Lepisosteus oculatus: one gene and its partners. The protein of the gene in region 1 interacts with the protein of each later gene in a pairwise test. Links are inferred from orthologs where the notes say so. Each region holds a gene or a part of one and is shown on either strand. Other genes may lie near its edges.

Region 1 (3,749 bases):
CGGTTTCGAGACAAACCAACAAGGGAGTAAACATAATAATGCATTATACGGGATTTTCTGCTTATATTTTTTCCATTTCAGAATAATATACAACTAGTTATTTTAATGGCGAATTCACATCGACTTGAATGTTGTAAATGGCTGTCGACAACAGAACACTAAGGTAAAAGAGAACGGTATACAGAGCTCACTTCAGCCGAAAGGATTAGATCTTCACGCAATGCAAGCATAGCCGTATGTGGTTACATATCATTTTGCATATATAAAAAGCGCAACTGTCTTAACCCGAAGCTTCAAAATGAAATGAACATCTCTGATCATGCTAGTCTTCAGTAACCTTAAAAGACCCGCACAGCTGCTAAATGAATTGCCTGGTATTCACGTTTGTAGCAGGAATTCGTATTGCGCTAAGACTAGGAGTCCAAAATCTTGCGTCACAGATCAGTTAACTTTAGTAATGCTGTCTGCACTGCACTGTGGTCACGGTACTTAATATTAGTTAATAGCATTGTAATTTTAAAAATTTTGTCAAGCACGATTTAGAGGTGAACTAACTATGCAGAAGACATTCCGTGGTTCAAGGTTGGCACAGCCTTGTCAGAATTATATCGTGCATACCTAGGAAATCCTAAAAACGTGGCGTCGCTGATTATTGGTAACATGACAAGCTCTATTCAGATTGCCGTGAATAACATCAGCGTTGGTATAAGAAAACCTCCACGAGTCAGAAATCCACACAGAGATTTTAATTAAAAATGCGGAGTAGCGACATAGCCATTGGAAAAATGTACTATGTTCGACATGTAGTTGATAAAATTTGAAAATAATCGCGACACTTCAAAGGCACGGGGTGAGGTCGAGGTTTCTCATTTTTGGAAAGAATATAAGTAGTGTCATGTTTACCGATTTTAATATTCTTTTATATGATTTCAACATTACATAGCAGCATGCAAGATTAATCGATTCCCTTTTAAAATCGGGTACTCTACCCTCCCCGATTTCTACAATGCCGAAAACCTCATCTGTAATGAAAAGTCTTTGATGCTCCGGGGATGCTGCTTTGTAGCACACTTAAGTGGAGCATGGTGGTACACGGGACACAGAAGTGTGACGGGGGCGTAACGTTTTCGTGCAGATCCTCCTTAACAAGGAAAAAAAAAAGGGTTGTTCGTAGTTCAGTTGAAAGTGCTGTCCAACACGTGAGGCTCATGTGACGGAGGTAGGTCAGTTACTGAGCTAGAGACGTGTCTGTAGTCACAGGGTTTATTTAACACGTAGCCCAATCCACCCACTCCCATACATTTAACCCAGCCTGCAGCTTCAAACTACAGCCGACTGCGCTTTGGATCGCTGGGTGATAACGTCGTGAGCGCTGTCGTTCTGCTTTTCAAGAGACATCGTGGATGATGAAAAGTAAAGCGTAGAACAATAAGCAGCTCGCAAAATCTGAAGAAGAAAAAACAAAACGTCAGAGCAAGAGCGGTCTTTTGATTTTTTTTTACTAAATCATATACACTTTTCATATTCAGTTTTGCGACTGAACGGGAGAAACGAAAAAAAAAAACTTTTGACTATCGTACCTTGTTTCACGTTGGTTTCGTCGTCAGAAAAGAAAATGGAAAGGATCACAGCTGCGCAGCCACCCCCTTGCATGACAAAACACACATCGTTGGAAATCCCTGACATGCAAGGGTATGTACGTGTCTATTAACAGCTGGTTTGTGCATTTTCCAGTCTGCAGTTTGTCTCTTCTTCTGTGTGTCGCGCAATTCGTGCAAGTTTGATAAAGTTAGCCGTTCTTCAAATGCAGACATCTTATTTTCCCCCGTTTTCATATTGCTTGTAGAATGGATTTCCCCATGTACGTGTACAAGCCCAGAAGGGGAATAAAGCGAGGGGAAGACAGCAAGGTACGAAACGCTCTCTCTTCTTGATTACAATTTGAAATACCTTTCTGGTGGATCTTTTATATGTCATTTGAAAGCTGTTTTTGTAAGTTAAACATGTATTTAATCGAGGCATATATCATTATTTTGATGTATGCTTATACCATATATGTATGTATTTAATGGGCTAAAAATGCAATAACGTAAATATAATTTTAAATTAAACTATGTAAACTTTACATAGTGTACTTAAACGTGCATACTTGAACAAGAACCTAACTGTTGATTTTTTTTTTCTCTAGGAAACTTACAAGTTGCCCCATAGACTCATTGAAAAGAAAAGGCGTGACAGAATTAATGAATGCATTGCTCAACTTAAGGATTTGTTGCCAGAGCACCTTAAACTTACTGTAAGTTAGAATTTGGAATAAAGTCAATTCTTTTAAATAGAAATCAACTGTGGTATAAAGCGCCATCTGCTTGTTGGCGTAGGGTTTTCTTGAAGGGCAGCTGACTTTACATGGGAAATTATCAAGGGAATGGATCAAAGCCTTTCTTCGATTTATTCATTCGCCTTGACATTACATAGCTTCTGCAGTTGTACCGAAAGTACCGAAAAGTTCCACAGGATAGGATCATAGGTGCCAAATGGCGTATTTGAAAATAAAAATTCTAGTATATTTTTTGATCGGATATGAAGTGATTATAGGTACGGTAATTGTGTTAATATCACTTGAAAATATGGTTATGTGGAAACAATATAAACACGGGAATCTTTGATATTCAAAGGCTTTTTAATTAAGTTTTAACTTGTTGATAAAAATGCTTCTTTTAAAATTACCGTTCGGTGCCCATCCTTTAACAATTGTAACGCGTAATTGTATGCACTTTGTTGATGCGTTACAAATATTGTACGATTTATAGTTAGAGGGATTCGTATTTTTACTTATTTGATATTTCAAAGCTCTTGTTCATTCTATCACGTTATTCTTAAACTGCTTTTGATGATCACAGGTTTGTCAGCCACAGTTTGTTACATAAGTTATCTGCGTGCTTATCAGACTTTTTTTATTTACAGACTTTGGGCCATTTGGAAAAGGCGGTGGTTCTGGAGCTGACCCTAAAGCACGTGAAAGCCCTCACTAGCCTCTTAGAACAACAGCAGCAAAAAATCATCGCACTACAGAATGGATTGCAAGTCGGTAAGTAATGTGCAACTTCAAATGTAAATGCATAGATTAATAGATAACAGCATACGTTTTTGGCTTTTGATTTTATTACGTTTATTGAAAGGAGTCTTTGCAAAGGGCGATTGCATGTGACATTTCTAAGCTGCTAAATCAGGAATAATATGTAAATATAAGCCTGTGCGTATCATTCAAAACGTCATGTCTGAATGGCAAAATTCCCTTGAAACATTCTATTCCATTAGACATTTTCTGCAAGATGAAATGTTATGTCTTTTCTCAGAACTCGAAATAGCTTTTCAGTAGCAAAATCCCAACATAAAAATTAAATGTTTATTTACTGAGTAGTGCAGTAACTTAGTGAATAACCTTTTAATACGGGATGTCTGCGAGCATCTTGTATTGAAATTAAGTTCCAGTGCAACTATTCTGTGACGGTCAGGATGATTAATTAGAAGTTCCTTCTTTTTTTCTTTTTTTTTTTTTAAGGTGACCATCCAGCTCACAGCCCTGACGTGAGCGAGGAAATGTTCCGGTCTGGTTTTCACATGTGTGCAAAGGAAGTTCTGCAGTACCTGGCCAACCAGGAGAGTGGACGAGAGCTGACCCCTTCCCATATGATCAACCACCTGCACAAGGTAGCGTCTGAGGTCCTGCAGAGAACACCCAGCCCCCG
Region 2 (3,749 bases), on another chromosome or scaffold:
CTGCCCCTAGTGATGTGCAAGAGCAGCAGAATTCACCCCTCCCCGTCATACCCCTGCTCTTCATGTACTTGCAACAGGAAGCGCAGCTCGCTTTGACAGAGGGGCGGGAAACATGCAAAAGCACAGCGTGCTCAGGCGTCCGGCCAGCCCTACCTATTGAAAGCAGGCGACGCCGTGCCACCTTGGTCCGGGGTCCCCCGGAGCTTCGATCTGTTCGCCAGGATCCACCGGAGAAGGTGATCCAGTCCCTCTTTAACGGCCTCGTCCCTCTTCACGTAGCGGTCCCGGTAGCCGTCTCTCAGGTCGAAGTTGGGGCAGCGCTCCGGCTGCACGTAATACCTCAGCTGCCTGGCGTCGCTGAAAAACCTGCGCTTGGCGTCCAGGGAGAAATGCCCCACCTCCACCGGCTGCTTGTACAGCGGGAAGTCTCTGTCGTACAGCTGCCTCCGCACGCTCAGCACCCGGGGAGGAGGGGAGCCGGGGGAGCTTCTCTCTCCGCGGCTGGAACTGCCTCTCTTGCTGTCCTCGCCGCCCCCGCTCCTCTCTTCCCTGCTGCGCTTGTGCTCAGACCGGACACCGGCTGACCCCCGGTGGCCACACGGGCTGTGGCGACGGTCCATCGTCTTCTGCTTCGATCCCAAAAAAAAAAAACAAGCTACATATTAACACGTATTTTTTTTCCCCGCAAGGCTTTAACTTTGAATAAACGTATCTCCTGTCATGCCTTTGCGGCTAAAAGACCTGTAGCCTGTTTCCTATCGGCACACGAACCTGCTGGTTTCGATTCTTTTCTGCTGCGGTGACAAAGTGTAAAATCTCCAGGCTCGCCCACATTCAGATCGCATGCCAGGAGCTTCCTTGCGCACGTTAGAGAGGGACTAACAAGTAGAGCAACGTTCACTCGCCAACGTCCGTAAATTCCAATAGTTAATCATCTGTAGGAGCGTTTCATTGTTGTCCCACTACGTACACACATTACGCACTGTTATAAGACAGCTATATTATCACTCCTGCGACCCCCATCTCTTACATGTTCAAATCATTATAACCTGATCCACGAACGCAATGGCGCAATTCAATTCTTTGCAAGAGAAAACAGACATTACAAAAACATACATGGATACTCCCAGGCACCCAAAGCAGTCACACCAGGTGTACAGTTCAATGTAGAATGTGAAAAAGGAATTGCAGTACCTTATTTTAAATTCAGCAACTGAGCCGCCATACCTGCGTACACAGTGTTCAAATGGCGGCTTTGTTCTACGTCATTGTCCTGCGACGAAACATTGCGTCACAACCAGTCGACACAGAGTGCCCAGCTGGCAAAGAAATAACTTTTTTTTTGTAGTTTTGGAATAGTGGTTGTTTTTGTTGTGTTATTGAAAGATAAAATTAGACATTACCCTCTGATATTTGGCTTTAGGTTGCTGACGGTTAGTTTACTGAATTGATCTGGGATTTAAATTACCAGGTTTATGTTTATAAACCGATTTCGATAACTAACTTCCTCCCAAGAAAATAAACCGATTTCACCTCAAGCGTAGGCGTCTTGTATGGAGTCCTGGCTTCTGCACCACCGTTTTGAATAAAACAGTTCTAATGTATACGTTTTTACTCCAGTCCAGGAACCCCTTCATTATTGGAATAAGTAAATTACAGGTTATGCACTGATGTATCTCTGCGTAAAATAAGTGAGCACAAGACTTCCTCGACCTGATTGCGGTGCATTAATAAAGGCGAGCATCGGAGAGGTTGTCGATATTGATGTGTCCGTTCCGCAGCGATGAACAGAAAAAGGACATTGATATCGGACACCTTCAGAGCTAAGAAGAGGAGATCCGAGACAGAGCGTGGACTACAAGAAAATGGCAAAACGTCAATATCCCAAGGTATTGAATTACGAATTATTTCAATTTTATTAGTCTGAGCTTTTTTTAACTTTTTTTTAAACTTTTTTTTAAAAGACTTTATGGTTGCCAAATGATACTCTTTTGTACCATGACTGAATAATTAAATCCAGTAAATTATTTCTTTCTGAAACAGAAGTGACAAATGACACAAGTTTGATAAAACAAAATGACAGAGAGTGCAAAATGATGGATAGTTATTGGACTAGCCCTTTATACTCCAGACCCCAGGTAACTCCGTTTTGGGGACTTTTCTGCAACAGTTCAGCTTTCTCTTTCCTAGACTGCAGATTTCCATTGCAACTTCCTTATAGAAGTTGTGATCACATTGTCAGTGCTTCTTAGATTTGTAGATGGGGATAGAAAGGCTTGTAGGTGTTTTAAATTGGCTTGTGTGAGTGGTGACAAACTGAAAACAAAGCTATATTACATTATTTTGCCAAGATTAAGTGGGATCCTATCAGCTCCTTGATTGTGTTATTCCAGCTGCAGAGGGACCTCTGGACATTATGGCAGCCCTGGAGAACTTGATGTCTCTGTTTCCTCGAAAGCTGTTTAATGACACCCTGCCGCCCATAGTGATGAAACACCAGCTCTACAGTATTCATAGAGACAGGACACTTGTGGACCGGCAGCTGGTAACACTTCCCTCACTCAAAAGAGACTTCTAAGAATAAAAGAAATGTGATTTGTAAGAACTAAAAAAAACAGGGTAGTATTTTGTCAGAGGAAAGTTGTGTTTGTACTTTTTCTTCAGATATTGTGATGTGATATCATTCTAACGAGCCTGGATATATGCAATAGTTGATTCTTGCTACGCCAAGATACCCTGGCAGGTAAAAGCTTGCTGGAAGTGCAGGTGAGTTTAGGATAGATCAGAGTCCAGAAAGCTCTCTCTTCCAGCATTATAGCATAAACGTTTCATGGTTTGATGTCGTGGAAAGGTGCCGAAGAAGGTAAAGTTTAATTTCTGCCTTCTTGAGAGCATGTTTTCTGAGCCTCAATACTGACATCAGAATTTTCTTTGCAGCTGCACCTTCATGACCTGTTTTTCTATTCTTTCTGGTTTATCCCTCCGTTCTCCCAGAGTGAACTGAAGGACCAGGGGAAACTGCTGATGTTCCAGCTCGGCTTCGACTCGGACACGGCTGCGGTGGTCTTTGCGGACGAATACAAAGCCAAAGTGCTTGCGGGAGAAGCCGGGAGGGAGACGTCTGGGACCGTGGAGAGGTTCCTCGAGAACGTGCTGCCCGTGTGCTCTGACCTGAGTTTCAACAAAGAGAAGATGCTCAAGGAGTTCCTCTTCACAGACCAGGAGATCACGTACGAGACGGCCTTACACTCATCTCTCTTCCCTCATTCCCTTTAGCGAGCTGGCAGTTTTTGTACAGCATTTGCTGGTTGTTGTAAGGTGCTTTTTGTTTTATAGGTAGTGTGGTATAGTGGTTAGCATTGTTGCCTCTCGGCAACAGGGCTCTGGGTTCAATTCTTGGGATGCTGTCTGCCTGGAGTTTGTACGTGCGTCCCGTGATCATGTGGGTGTCCTCTGGGTGCTGTTTTCTTCCGGCAGTCCAAAGACATGCTGATAGGTTAATTGACTTCTGGGAAAATTGTCCCTGGTGTGAGTGATTGTGTGCGTGTGTGTCTGTGTGTTTGTGTTTGCCCTGCGATGGACAGGCATCCCGTCCAGAGTGTATCCCACCTTGTGCTCTTTGCTTGCAGGATGGGCTCTGGCTCCGCCGCCCCCCCGAACTGGATCAAGCAGTTAGAAGATAGATGGATGAGGGGGGTATGGTTCGGGTTTCAGACCTCTTTCACTTGTCATACCTTTTTTTTTAAAAA
Region 3 (3,749 bases), on another chromosome or scaffold:
AGCGGTCGTTTCCGGTGCCGGGGCTTGCGGCTCAGGAGCCCGTGGGCCGTGCCGCTGGCCCGCGTGTCCCTGCTCCACACAGTCCACAGGATGCGAGCGTACGCCACACACAGGACGCAGAACGGGGCGAAGAACACGGTGACCGAGCCGTACACGATGTAGGCCTGGAAGTGCCAGCGGGGCAGGTCGGAGAAGGTGTTGAGGCACTTGCTGTGGGGGCTTCTGTCCGGCTGCACCTTGAAGACGAAAGCCTGGGGCAGCGCCAGGACCAGCGCCGCCAGCCAGCCCACGGTCGCCAGGAGCTTGGTCGGCAGGGGCGACGCCAGGGGGCGCACTATGACGTGGTGCCGCTCCAGCGCGATGATGGCGATGATGTTGGACGAGGCGATCAGCCCGAACACCTGCAGCACCTTAAACAGCCGGCAGGCCAGGTCCCCGGCCACCCACCTGTCCTCCAGCACCTCCCAGACGATCTGGGACAGCAGGGTGAGCACGGAGACGCAGAGGTCGGCCACGGCCAGGTTGGTGATGAGGGCGTCTATTTTCCGCCGCTTGCTCCGGCCGCAGCAGATCTTGTGGAGCACGATGGAGTTGCCCAGGAACGCCACGGCGAAAATGACGGACATCGATATGATTCGGACCTGCCGGTTGTAGAAGGGGCCCCGGGTGGAGGAGGAGTTGCCCCCGCGGTCGGCCAGAGGGAGACTCCAGCGGTCCAGCTCGGACGAATTCGTGCGCGGGTCGCCAGCGAAGCCGGGCGCGCCGTCCATCTCTGCGCGCCACAGCCCTGAGCGATCCTGTCAACTTCTCAAGCTGAAGACGAAGTGCGGGCGCAGGGACCGGCTGCATGCAACGGCAGGACTAACGAACCGTCAAGCACCAAGCCCCGGTCGCCAGCCCAGCGCCCGCGAGTGCCTCCATAGCTCAGAGAGCAGGACCGGCGAGCGCTTGCCAGACAAGGCGTTATAGACCACAGAGCGGCAGCCGCAGCTTATATAGACCAGCCCGCGTCATCTGACGATATACTCGCGGGCAGGGGCGAGTGGGCTCGGCAGCAAGGCGGGGGTCTCGGTGACGCCGAGTTTGCGATCGAACCGAGGCCGGAGCCCTCCTGGAGCAGAGCGGGCACGAACACACGGCAGCGCGAGTGAGAGCGCTTCACGGTGCTGGGCTCGGGAGAGCACGCAGAACCGCAGTGCCCCTTACACAGAGCAGTTCTGTGCGTCATTCTTACACCCCGAAGTATTAAAATCAGTGCCCAGAACAATCACCATCTGTGAATGCACCAGAAAATGAGCGAGCGCGTCTTCGGAGTGACAGACGGCAGGAATCCACAGCGGGATCACACGGGAAGGGGACGGGAAGACCGGGAGGTCCACACCTGGCCCGCGGGTACAGGGATCATATGATCGCGATCTGATTGTAAATACCGCTACTGCTACCGCTACTGCTGGTACAGCTATTACTAGTGCTGCTACTGCTGGTACTATTGTACTACTACCTCTCAACTACTACAGTCGCTACTAGTGCTCCTACTCCTGCTATTACCTCTTAACCACTACAGCAGCTACTACTAGTGCTGCTGCTGCTACGTTTCTGCCTCTTCTGCCACTGCTCCAGTCAGCACCATTGCGATCCCCGTGTTCGTGTGGGGTGTCAGTGCCCCACTGCAGACACGCTGGCAGGTTAATACGCTCCTGGGAAACTCCTGGTGTGTGTGAGAGTGTGTGAGTGTGTGTGTGCGCGTGTGTGTGTGTGATTGTGCGTGTGTGTGAGTCTGAGTGTGCGAGTGTGTGCAAGTGAGTGTGTGTGTGAGTGTGCGTGTGATTGTGCGTGTGAGTGTGTGTGCGAGCGAGTGTGTGTGTGAGTGTGATTGTGTGCGTGTGTGAGTGTGAGAGTGTGTGTGTGATTGTGTGCGTGTGTGAGTGTGAGAGTGTGAGTGTGATTGTGTGCGTGTGTGAGTGTGAGAGTGTGTGTGTGAGTGTGAGTGTGATTGTGTGCGTGTGTGAGTGTGAGAGTGTGAGTCTGATTGTGTGCGTGTGTGAGTGTGAGAGTGTGAGTGTGTGTGAGTGTGCGTGTGCGTGTGATTGTGCGTGTGTGATTGTGTGTGTGCGTGTGTGTGAGTGTGTGTGTGAGTGTGCAGGGGTCTGGTGGGCCCTGCCTGGCGCTCATCTCTCCGCCGCCACCCTGAATCGGATGCATCCGTTAGAAACGGGAGGAATGGACGAACTTTTAGCCACGTTTCGACACCTCGGCGCCGTTTCGGAACAGCAGTACAGCAGCTCGAGAGTTAGGAGTTCACGCTTTTCCTTTCAGCGTGGAATCGGCCTTCACCTGTTGCCTGGAGAGGCCGCGCACGCCATCTAGCGGTGTAACACACACCTTACAGAACACGCACTTCTCCCCGGCTCTGCAGCAGCCGCGGGGAGCACCGTTTAACCGACGCGCTTCACGAGCTGTGAATTAAAATGATATAAACATATAAGGGAGAGTTTAATTCTTGTTTCAGTGAAATATGTCATACCCATTTCTATATACACTACAAGCGCGCCATGATAACAGCTTAATACGTGTTCGTGTATTTAGGTGAAACATAAATATTTTTTTTGTTGCTCTAAGTCATCTAATTTATCTTAGATCTTGGACAGTTGTTTTCGAGTTCGACTTTAGCCAACAATATTAAAACGGGTATTTTGGTGATGCTGCCTGAATTTATCCGCGCTGAACAAACGGATCCCGCTGTTTCATTTGATGTGCAACTCCAAATAAGTGCAATTCAGAAAGTACAATTCACAGGGGGGAAAAAAAGTATCTGTTTCGCTACAACAGCTGCAAGAAATAAGAGTTTTTGTTTGTTCATTGTGAAAATCTGCTCTCCTGCTTCAGCACCACGTGGGGTGTCACGTGTCCAGGTCGTGGCGTCTCGCGGACTGCGGTGCTCCCGTGATTTCAGTCCGGCCAGGAAAACGCAGAAAATTGTTTCAGGGGACTAGATCTATATTATATTTCTGTTTCTGACCTGTGCTGCTTGGGTCTGCGGTGTCACCAGGATGAGAAACGTCTGAAAGGACGGCAGACCGGTGAGTGCGGCGACGTCTGGGTATTTCTCTGACCCGCCGGCTTTTATTTTAATGTCTGGTTTGTGTCGGACATCAAAATAAAGGTGGACGTACACACAGCTGGTGTCGGGTCCAGTTCGGTCCCCCTGTACCCCTGTACTCAATCTGTACCCCTCCAGTACAGTCTCTCCTGGAATCTGTACCCCTCTAATACAGTCTCTCTGGGAATCTGTACCCCTCCAGTACAGTCTCTCCGGGAATCTGTACCCCTCCAGTACAGTCTCTCTGGGAATCTGTACCCCTCTAATACAGTCTCTCTGGGAATCTGTACCCCTCTAATACAGTCTCTCTGGGAATCTGTACCCCTCCAGTACAGTCTCTCTGGGAATCTGTACCCCTCTAATACAGTCTCTCCTGGAATCTGTACCCCTCCAGTACAGTCTCTCTGGGAATCTGTACCCCTCCAGTACAGTCTCTCCTGGAATCTGTACCCCTCTAATACAGTCTCTCCTGGAATCTGTACCCCTCTAATACAGTCTCTCTGGGAATCTGTACCCCTCCAGTACAGTCTCTCCTGGAATCTGTACCCCTCCAGTACAGTCTCTCCTGGAACCTGTACCCCTCCAGTACAGTCTCTCTGGGAACCTGTACCCCTCCAGTACAGTCTCTCTGGGAATCTGTACCCCTCCA

What was found.
Region 2: the proteins of bhlhe40 (region 1) and inactive serine/threonine-protein kinase 19 interact in a two-hybrid assay, tested with the Homo sapiens proteins (2 studies listed by BioGRID). The two-hybrid records come from large-scale screens. The link is inferred for Lepisosteus oculatus from reciprocal best matches to the Homo sapiens genes BHLHE40 and WHR1.
Region 3: the proteins of bhlhe40 (region 1) and rhobtb3 interact in binary tests that used the Homo sapiens proteins (3 or more experiments, as listed by UniProt). The two-hybrid records come from large-scale screens. The link is inferred for Lepisosteus oculatus from reciprocal best matches to the Homo sapiens genes BHLHE40 and RHOBTB3.

Annotation. Positions count from the first base shown.
Region 1 is NC_090699.1:54,736,838-54,740,586, reverse strand, and holds the start of bhlhe40 (class E basic helix-loop-helix protein 40), read left to right. Parts: upstream 1-1,192; 5' UTR 1,193-1,615; coding exon 1,616-1,692; intron 1,693-1,846; coding exon 1,847-1,910; intron 1,911-2,188; coding exon 2,189-2,296; intron 2,297-2,964; coding exon 2,965-3,088; intron 3,089-3,562; coding exon 3,563-3,749. UniProt on the Homo sapiens protein: Transcriptional repressor involved in the regulation of the circadian rhythm by negatively regulating the activity of the clock genes and clock-controlled genes.
Region 2 is NC_090714.1:16,457,571-16,461,319, reverse strand, and holds the start of inactive serine/threonine-protein kinase 19, read left to right. Parts: upstream 1-1,287; 5' UTR 1,288-1,783; coding exon 1,784-1,889; intron 1,890-2,393; coding exon 2,394-2,545; intron 2,546-2,994; coding exon 2,995-3,230; intron 3,231-3,749. Other genes in the region: dxo (decapping and exoribonuclease protein), read right to left, coding at 154-629, 772-834. UniProt on the Homo sapiens protein: DNA-binding protein which is required for efficient transcription-coupled nucleotide excision repair (TC-NER). Acts as part of a TC-NER complex which assembles and interacts with RNA polymerase II (RNAPII) when it stalls at DNA lesions.
Region 3 is NC_090698.1:74,236,201-74,239,949, forward strand, and holds the start of rhobtb3 (rho-related BTB domain-containing protein 3), read left to right. Parts: upstream 1-1,336; 5' UTR 1,337-1,422; intron 1,423-2,392; exon of another isoform or gene 2,393-3,080; intron 3,081-3,749. Other genes in the region: probable G-protein coupled receptor 150, read right to left, coding at 1-770. UniProt on the Homo sapiens protein: Rab9-regulated ATPase required for endosome to Golgi transport. Involved in transport vesicle docking at the Golgi complex, possibly by participating in release M6PRBP1/TIP47 from vesicles to permit their efficient docking and fusion at the Golgi.